Oryctolagus cuniculus: one gene and its partners. The protein of the gene in region 2 purifies or fractionates together with the protein of the main gene of each other region. This does not show direct contact. Links are inferred from orthologs where the notes say so. Each region holds a gene or a part of one and is shown on either strand. Other genes may lie near its edges. The genes, in order: UBE3C, 26S proteasome complex subunit SEM1 and RAD23B.

Region 1 (3,656 bases), on a different chromosome or scaffold from region 2:
TGCCTCTTAGGATCTGCACTGACAAGAAGGTTTAACTGGGAGTTGGAACTAATAATGAAATCCAGGCTCTGCATCCCAACCAGCACCTTAACCGCCGCCCCCCCTTGTAATTGAAGAATCATCACGTGCACATATTTGCATTGGTTTTTCTCTGTTTGCTGATGGATAACTGCTTTGTACTTCCAGCACTTTCTTGTGATGGCAGAAGGAAACACTTTTCTGTGAAGTATTTGGTGGTCTAAGGCCAGGTCTCACTTCCTGAGTCCTGTTTTCTTTGAAACATTTAGATAACAGGAGCATCCCCTGTCCCACCGGCATGTGCTCCTCTAACATCTGGTCAGCGGTGGTGCTTGCTTTGTGCCCTTGTAGCATCTGAACTCCTTTGTATGACACAGACTTGTTCATTTCTTCAGGTGATCACCAATCTAGTGAAAATGTTGAAGTCCAGAGACACAAGAAGAAATTTCTGTCCTCCGAACCACTGGCTGTCAGAGCAAGAAGATATTAAAGCAGATAAGGTATTACTGAAATAATCACTTTAATGTTTTTCATTAAAAATTATTTTTCATCTTTTAACTTTCTAGGGGGGGTTCTCATGAGGTAGTTCATCCTTGAATTAAACTGTAGCTTCTGGTCCTGCCCACTGACGAGGTCTTGAAACAGTGATAGGTCCTGTGCGTGAACAGCTCCAATACTCAGAAAAGAAACAGTTCTGGCCCAGTGCTTGGTGCCGAGTCTGGGAAAGACCTTACAAGTTGGGTCTGAAGCCCTGTTGTCACACTGGAGAGTGAGGCCATAGCAGGACGCTGGCCGTTGTGAAGGGCTCACGGGCATTTGACTGGCTTCTGCTGCTCCCAGGTAGAAGATCTGAACTTCAGCAAAGATAGATTTCAGTGAACTCAAGCTTCAGGTACATTTACTCAGTGAGTTCATAATGATACCAAGAAGAACAAGAACTGTGTCTGCTGTTTTTGTAGCAAGCAAAGGAACCAGCACATTATTTGGGTAACTGTGGTGCGTGGAAGAGTGAGATTCAGACTGCCTTTGCTTTGTGAACGGGACCTCATGTTAGCCGGGCAGTTTGCAAGTGGGAGAAGAGTCCTGGCAGGACTACATACAGAGGCGTTTGTGAACTAGGATGCCTGATCACATTGTGCAGGTGCTAAAGGATTATCTGGTCTCAGTGGTACTGCTCCAGATACTGTCCTGGCACTGGGCCTTGGGTTTTTAAAGTGTGATAATGTTTCACTTCACAAAGGAATTATAGTATTATGATTTACTATGTCAATTGCGATGGGGTATCTTAGGAAAAGTAATTAAGCTATAAAAGTATGAAAGGGCAGCTAGTGTAAGAGAGAAGTCCTGGAAAGCGCGTGCCGAGATGACCTGTTTGTCATTCGTAAATATCAGACACTGGCTCTAGGGAAAAACTGTTTGTGCTGGCAAAAAAAAGAAAGCAATGAACGTTGGTTGCTCTCCCCGCAGGTCACCCAGCTCTATGTGCCAGCATCCAGGCACGTGTGGAGGTTCCGGCGAATGGGGAGGATTGGCCCGCTGCAGTCCACCCTAGAGGGTGAGTCCTCGACAGCTGGCACTGCTTTTTCAAAACAGGTTGCTATTTGGTTATTGGTTTTTAACACATTTACTTACTTATTTGAAAGAGTTACAGAGAGGGAGAGCCACAGAGAAGAGAGAGATCTTCCTTCTGCTGGTTCACTCTCCGGATGGCTGTAACAGCCAGGGCTGTGTCAGGCCAACGACAGGAGCCAGGAGCCTCATCTGGGTCTCCCACATGGGTGGCAGGAGCCCAAACACTCGTCAACTCTGCTACTCATCCCAGCCCATTAGCAAGGAGTCGGATCAAAAGTGCAGCAGTTGGGACTTGAACAGCACCCATATGAGATGCCAGTGTCGTGAGCAGCAGCTCTACCCACCACACCACAATATGAGCCCAGTACGGGTTTATTGAAGTATATGTGTATATTGGTTGCACACTGTAAAATTCACTCCTTTTAGTGTATGGTTCTGTGATGTTTGATAAACGTGATTATGTGACCACCACCAGAATCAATCATACAAACTAGTTTTATCACTGCACAAGATTACATTATGTTCCTTGATGGCCAGCTCCTTCCCCCAGCCCTAGCTCCTGATTTATCTTTTGTCCCTATCATTTTGTCTTTTCCCAGGTGTTTCTAAATGGAATCATAAGGTATAACATTCCTTTAAAAAAAAAAAAAAGATTTATTTATTTGTTTAAATAAACTTTATTTACTGTCCCATGATTATATAATTCAAAAAGTAGAAAACTTGTAGAATGATATGTTTTAGACAAACATTCTGTGCCCCAAAATCTACTTTTGAATGTCCGAAATCTTTTGTCTTTCTTTTTATAGGTTTTTCTTCTTGACCAGAGTTTGTCCTTTGAATTCTTTCTGTAATACTACTTTGTTGTTGTTGTTGTTGTTTTTAGATTTATTTATTTGAAAGACAAGAGTGAAAAAGGTAGAGACAGAGAGAAAGAGCATGGTCTTCTATCCGTGTTTCGCTCCCCGAATGCTGCAACAACAGGAACTCAGGCCAAACCCGGGAGCCAGGAGATTGTTCTGGGTCTCCCACATGGGTGCAGGGGCCCAAGCATTTGGACCCTCCTCTGCTGCTTTTCCAGGTGCCTTAACAGGGAGCTGGATCAGAAGTGGAGCAGCCAGGACTTGACTCTGCAGGCCAGGGCTTTAACCTGCTGCACAATAGCACCGATCCCATAACTACTTTGTTTTTACAAATATCATCAACATGTTCATGTGAAAACCACAGTAGACAGTGTGTGATTTGCTTAATTTGCCCAGTATAAGATTAATTACTGGGCTGTTGTCACACTAAGTACAGGCAGGTGAATTTAGTTGTACTTTTTTTTTCCAAGGAGGAGAACCTGAATTTTTGAGTACCTGGGGATTAATGGTTATTTCATATTCCTTTTAAAGACCCTTGTTGTGGAATTCATTTAAAAGGTGTTGGACCAAATTAAATGTACTTGGCATAATCTTATTTTTAATAATGTATAATTAAAGATTTTAGGTATCCAAGATGTTAAAATTGTTCCATTTTAAGACTTGGATTACGGGACTGGTGCTGTAGCATAATGGATAAAGCCACTACCTGCCATGTCAGCATCCCATATGGCTACCAGTTTGAGTCCCAGCTGCTCCACTTCCAATCCAGCTCTCTGCTATGGCCTGGGAAAGCAGTGGAGGATGGCCCAAGTCCTTGGGCCCCTACGCCCACATGGGAGACCCGGAAGAAGCTCCTGGCTCCTGGCTTCGGATTGGTGCAGCTCGGGCTGTTGTGGCCAATTGGAGAGTGAACTAGTGGATGGAAAACCTCTCTCAAGCCGGCGCCGTGGCTCAGTAGGCTAATCCTCCCCCTTGCGGCGCCGGCGCACCGGGTTCTAGTCCCGGTTGGGGCGCCAGATTCTGTCCCACTTGCCCCTCTTCCAGGCCAGCTCTCTGCTATGGCCCGGGAGTGCAGTGGAGGATGGCCCAAGTGCTTGGGCCCTGCACCCTATGGGAGACCAGGAGGGGCCCCTGGCTCCTGCCTTCGGATCAGTGCAGCGCAGCGGCTATTGGAGGGTGAACCAACGGCAAAGGAAGACCTTTCTC
Region 2 (2,468 bases):
TGGGTGGCCTGTTGCAGCCCAGTGAGCAGCCAGGAGATGGAGGGGAGCTGGCCCAGAGCACGTGTGCAGAGAGGCAGCCGTCGAGTCATGGGCCTGGCAGGAGCACTGCAAGGTGACTCAGATTTCCTGCTCACCCCTCTCGGACGCCGGACACTGGGGCGATGCTTCTGGACTTCGGCAGAACCCCTGGGGAGCTGTCCCAGCTCGAGGTGCTGAGCTAGAGGGAAGGGTGACAGAGATAGGCAGGGCTGCAGGGAGGGGCTTAGGCCGAACAAAAACGAAGGGAATCAGCCCTGGGCCCCAGCGCACTCCTGAGTCCCACCAGGGAGCCGCCTGCAACCAGCAGACACAAATGGTGCAGACTGAGCATCCCGAGGCCCGGGATGGAAGCCGGGACTCGTGCACAAGGCCGCAGAGCTCTGAGAACACCCACCCTCTGCCCACTGCCCAGGCACCTGCAGGTCTCTGGAAGCAGGCAAGAGGCAGCGGTGTCTGGTGATGGTTCTATAGTGGCAGGACTGGGGAGTGACAACGACCAACTCTCAGAGACCCTCCGCTCTCCACCTGTGAGTCACAGAGAGGAAGGTTAGTGTCTCAAAAACGCTGCCTCTTGAGTGACACTCAAATAGATCTCATCAGCGCTCATTCAGATAGCCTCATGACCACGGGGTCTGCTGTCCCCTCTCCTGCCACTATCTCCTTTCCCTATCTGGGGGTGGGGGTGCGGGCATGAAGACAGTTTGCTGAGGGGATTTTGGTTTCCTTATAAAAGAAACCCTGGAGCCAGCGCTGTGGCCTAGTGGGTAAATCTGCTGCCTGCAGTGCCGGCATCCCATGTGGGTGCTGGTTTGTGTCCTGGCTGCTCCTCTTCCGATCCAGCTCTTTGCTATAGCCTGGGAAAGCAGTAGAAGATGGAACAAGTGTTTGGGCCTCTGCACCCACCTGGGAGACCCAGAGGAAGCTCCTGGCTCTGGCTTTGGATCGGCATAGCTCCAGCTGTTGTGGCCATTTGGGGAGTGAACCAGTAAAGGGAAGATCTCGATCTCCTTCCTCCCTCCCTCCCTCCCTCCCTCCCTCCCTCCCTCCCTCCCTCCCTCCTTCTCTCTCTGCCTTTCTAATGAATAAATAAATCTTAACAGAAAAAAAAAAAGCCTACATGGGTGGGCATTTGGCACAGTGGTTAAGATTTGCTTGGGATGCCTGCGTCCCAAATCAAAGTACCTGGGTTCAAGTCCTGGCTCTGCTTCCAATACAGCTTCTTGCTATTGTGCACAATGGGAGGCATCAGGTGATGACTTAAGTAGTTGGCTCCCTGCCACCCACGTGGGAGACCCAGACTGAGTTCGGGGCTTCTGCCTTCTGTCCAGCTCTGCTGTGGGCATTTGGGGACTGAACCAGTAGATGGAAGTGCTCTCTCTCTCTCCCTTTCAAATAAATGAGAGGGAGTGAGGCCTCCATGTTCCGTACTCACCTGCGAGATGTCCTGCGTGGACGGGAGCGATGTCCGAGAAAAAGCAGCCGGTAGACTTGGGTCTCCTCGAGGAGGATGACGAGTTCGAGGAGTTCCCTGCCGAAGACTGGGCTGGTTTAGATGAAGGTGAAGATGCACCTGTCTGGGAGGATAATTGGGATGATGACAATGTCGAGGATGACTTCTCCAATCAGTTGCGAGCTGAACTGGAGAAACATGGTTACAAGATGGAGACTTCATAACTTTCAGAAGAAATTTTGAAGTAACCTAAACTTGAACTGTTGACTAAATTCTAGCATGGAGAACCCAGGATCTGCTTGGATTTATTTTTGTTTTTGTAGCACAAGAAAAATAAATGTTTTGCTCTAAAAAAAAAATAAATAAATAAATAAATAAGGAAAAACTAGTTTTTTTTTTCCTTAAATAAAGAGCCAGAAGAACGCCTGTGATGCCAGTGTGTCAAGTCTCCCGCCTCTTGGCTAGTGAGTCCCTCCCTTCCTGTCTTTCCTGAATGTAGACTTGCAGGAGACAGCACGACCTCCCCTTCCATCCTGAGGCTGTGGGCTTGTTTCCTGCAGCAGTGTGTCCCAGGAAGTGTGAGCTCTTTCATGGCACAGCTTGAAAGTCTGGAAACGAGACCACAGGTAAGCTGGGTTCTCCGCGGAGCTAACGCGAGACTGCCGAGCCCCAAGCCCCTCCGTCAGGGGGTCCCAGGGCACCTGTAGGCACCTCTTCCTGGCACCAGTATGTCTCCTAACAGAGGAAGGAGTGGAGAGAAGTGAGTCTCCTCTGGTGTATAGGGGCTGGGCTGCGAGTCCAAGCCCCCTTCACACTCAGGCAGTGGCCAGTCTGGTTTCCCTCGTGGGCCCTCACCAGAGGAATGGCCCCTGGGACCAGGGCCTGATTCCCTGTGACCTAGCAGGTCTGGGAAGCCCTCGGGGAGGAGACTTCAGAACTGAGCGATATAAAGGGAAGATCAGACCACCTTTTATTTTGA
Region 3 (3,656 bases), on a different chromosome or scaffold from region 2:
AAGACACTCTGGTAAAAGATCTCTGTGAGTGAGATCCCAGTGGAAAGAACAGGTCTTCAAAGAAGGAGGTACCTTTCTCTGAAGGGAGGAGAGAACCTCCACTTTGACTATGACCTTGTCTAAACAAGATAAGAATCGGAGAACTCAGAGGGCTTCCATAGCCTTGGAAACTCATGACTGGAGCATAGGGAGACTACTGATGCCATAGACAGGAGTGTCAATTGGTAAAGTCAACAACAGGAGTCACTGTGCACTTACTCCTCATGTAGGATCTCTGTCCTTAATGTGCTGTGTATTGAGATTTAATGCTATAACGAGTACTCAAACAATATATTTCACTTTGTGTTTTTATGGGGGTGCAACTGTTGAAATCTTTACTTAATGTATACTAAACTGATCCTCTGTAAAAAAAAAAAAAAAAAAAAAAAAAAAAAAAAAAAGAAATTATCAACTCCCAACTTGACTCTCACTGGGATTAAACATGACAATAGGTCTGATCTGATTTCATCATCATTTAAAAAAAATCATCTATTATTTTTCACTTTATGTTTCTGTGTGAGAGCAAACTGTTGAAATCCTTACTTAATGTATACTAAGCTGATCTTCTGTATATTAAGATAATCGAAAATGAATCTTGATGTGAATGGAAGGGGAGAGGGAGTGGGAAAGGGGAGGGTTGTGGGTGGGAGGGACGGTATGTGGGGGAAGCCATTGTAATCCATAAATCGTACTTTGGAAATTTATATTCATTAAATAAAAGTTAAAAAAAAAAGAAAAAAAAAAGCTCTTAATCAGCATTTACTGTATACCATGTGCAATTTCATCTTTGACATCTATTATTTCAATCAAACCTTACAATAATTTTATGAAATAGATCTTGTTGTCATTCATACTATATAGATGGGGAAAAATGCAAAGATGTTAATAACTTTTCCAAGATTATCAGAGCTAATATCAGAGCCAAACAGAATACTATCCAACTAGAAATAATTGATGTGGAAAGATGCTTATAATATATATGACAAATATATAAAAAAAAATCAACCAAATATACATGGGTACTCCAAAAAATTAATGGAAAGTGAACATAAATAAGTTTGGCCACTGCAGTGGGTTAGGTCTTTGCCTGTAGCGCTGGCATCCCATATGGGCACCGGTTTGAGTCCCATCTGCTCCACTTCCAATCCAGCTCCCTGCTAATGGCCAGGGAAAGCAAAGGAAGATGACCCAAGTGCCTGAGCCCCTGCATCCATGTGGGAGACCAGAGAGAAACTCCTGGCTTTGGGCCATCCCAGCTTCGGCCAATGTGGCTATTTGGGGAGGGAACCAGTGAACGGAAGATCTTTCTCTGTCTGTAACTGTGCCTCTCAAATAAATAAATAAATAAAATCTCTAAAAAAATTTGGAAAAAACCTTTATTTTATACAAAAAATATGTACCAAAAATAGGTGAAATCTATGCATACTCAAAACAAGTAATGACTGGGATGGCAATGTCATGTTAATTAATAATTCTTGGGTTTTTTTTTTTTTTTTCATTTGTATTTTCTAACATTTTTACTCAAAATGAATAATGATTTTGACCCTCTCCCCTAAGGGGTGGGAAATCAACTTAACGAGTATAGAGATCTGGATCACCCAAATTTTTACCTATATTCTTCTTCGTAAACTACCCAAACAGACCTCTAGTATCTTTCAGGCAGGGTTCAAAGTTTAGAAAAAGCTTAACAGAATAGTCAGTTTGACTGAAATAATCATCAAAATAAATACATGTGTGAGATTGTTACACATTTTGAGATACAATTTCCTAGAACTCAGTGTTTACCTGTCAGTTGATGTTGGACTAGTAGCCACTGGTGTCTCTACCGGCTTTTCTGCAGGTTTCTCTTGCTTAGTTGCACTAGCAGGTGCAGGTTCAGAAGATGTCGTTGATGCTGGAGCAATGGACGCAGGTGTGGAAGTGGGAGCCAAAGCAGGGGCAGGTGTTGAGGCCTGAGTTACAGCTGTTGCTGTGGAGGAACTAACTGCAGTAGTGGTGGCAGAATTTGATTGCTGAGTTGTAGCTGGTGCTGGTGTTGTCACTGCTTTGGGCTAAGCATATTAAAAAGCAAAGTGATTATGATAAAATACTGTATTACTACCTGGTCTTTATTTGATTGTACAGAATGCAAGAAATCCAACACTAGTAAATCTTGTACCTCAAAAAAAATGAGATTAGTATTAGCAATCTGACTCACTTTGTTACTCTTTGAAAACCTGCGACTGTACACATAACTATGAATCTCAATTAGCTTTAGTCAACAATTTTAGACTATCAAGTTGATATGAAAAAGAATCAAAAGTAAATATTAAATATACACAACATGTATCCAAAAAAGTAACCAAATAATTACCCCCAAAAACTTTACGTATCTTAACTTTTAATTTTAGTAGAATTATCAAAAGTAATTTCTTGAAATAGAAATAATTACTAAAGAACATGTAAAATATTTTGCTATATTTTAGAAGAGAGAGGAAAAAATCCCAATAGACAACACGTACAAGAGATAAGCAACATTTTGAGATGTGTATGTAACTGAAGAGAAAAATAAAGTTGTGATCACATGCTGAGCACTTTCTAGAAACAGTCATAAAGCTTCCCACAGAGCAAAAAACAACTAGGTATAAAATCATACTAAATGAGTTTTATTCTTCTACATGTTTTTCTCCAATGTTCACTACCCAATCAGTTCATAACTTTCCTAAGAACAAAAGGTAACTGTTTAAATGGAATTAAAATTGAATAAAATTTGTCACAAGCACAAATCAACAAACTGAAAAACAAGAAGCTACTGGTATCTTGTTCAATCTCAGCTAGTAAAGAGGGCACTGGAAAAAAAGTGGTTAGTTCAAGTTATAGGGGGAGAGGCTTCAAAAATGCCCTTAGCATTTACTCCTTTTCCTATTCTAATAGCCTTACATTTAACTCTGTCTCTTTCTTTTCTGTCAATACAACACTGTGGAAATTATTAATGTTCTAAAAATTCAAAAATCCAATGAGCTGAAATCCTCAGGTAAAGTTATTCTGGATAAACCAAAGCATTACAAAGGTGATGGTGTGGATTTTTTTTTTAAGATCTATTTATTTGAAAGTCAGATTTACACACAGGAGAGGCAGAGAGAGAAAGAGAGAGAGAGAGAGAGAGAAAGTCTTCCATCCAATGGTGCTTCTTCCCGGTCTCCTAAGCAGGTGCAGGGGCCCAAGGACTTGGGCCATCTTCTACTGCTTTTCAGGCCATAGCAGAGAGCTGGATCGGAAGTAGAGCAGCCGGGACTAGAACCCACACCCGTATGGGATGCCGGTGCTTCAGGCCAGGGCGTTAACCTGCTATACCACAGTGCCGGCCCCGGTGTGGATTTTTTTCAAAGAAAGATTTAATGATTTATTTGAAAAGCAAGGGTTACGGGGAGGGGAAGGGGAAGAACTTCATCCACTGGTTCACTCCCCAAACGGCCGTAACTGCCAGGGTTGGACCAGTCCTCCACCAGGAGCCAGCAGCTTCTTCCAGTTCTCTTATGTGGGTACAGGGGCCCAAGCACTTGGGCCATCCTCCATTGCTTTTCCAGGACATTAGCAGGGAGCTGGATTGCAAGTGGAGCAGTTGGGACACAAAGCAT

The links.
Region 1: the proteins of 26S proteasome complex subunit SEM1 (region 2) and UBE3C purify together in Homo sapiens (affinity purification with western blotting; 3 studies listed by BioGRID and IntAct, with this or other methods). This does not show direct contact. The link is inferred for Oryctolagus cuniculus from reciprocal best matches to the Homo sapiens genes SEM1 and UBE3C.
Region 3: the proteins of 26S proteasome complex subunit SEM1 (region 2) and RAD23B purify together in Homo sapiens (co-immunoprecipitation; 3 studies listed by BioGRID and IntAct, with this or other methods). This does not show direct contact. The link is inferred for Oryctolagus cuniculus from reciprocal best matches to the Homo sapiens genes SEM1 and RAD23B.

What each region holds. Positions count from the first base shown.
Region 1 is NC_091438.1:11,203,929-11,207,584, reverse strand, and holds part of UBE3C (ubiquitin-protein ligase E3C), read left to right. Parts: intron 1-413; coding exon 414-518; intron 519-1,485; coding exon 1,486-1,573; intron 1,574-3,656. UniProt on the Homo sapiens protein: E3 ubiquitin-protein ligase that specifically catalyzes 'Lys-29'- and 'Lys-48'-linked polyubiquitin chains.
Region 2 is NC_091443.1:63,706,420-63,708,887, forward strand, and holds 26S proteasome complex subunit SEM1, read left to right. Parts: upstream 1-1,442; 5' UTR 1,443-1,500; coding exon 1,501-1,713; 3' UTR 1,714-1,874; downstream 1,875-2,468. UniProt on the Homo sapiens protein: Component of the 26S proteasome, a multiprotein complex involved in the ATP-dependent degradation of ubiquitinated proteins.
Region 3 is NC_091432.1:211,047,005-211,050,660, reverse strand, and holds part of RAD23B (UV excision repair protein RAD23 homolog B), read right to left. Parts: intron 2,091-3,656; coding exon 1,825-2,090; intron 1-1,824. UniProt on the Homo sapiens protein: Multiubiquitin chain receptor involved in modulation of proteasomal degradation. Binds to polyubiquitin chains.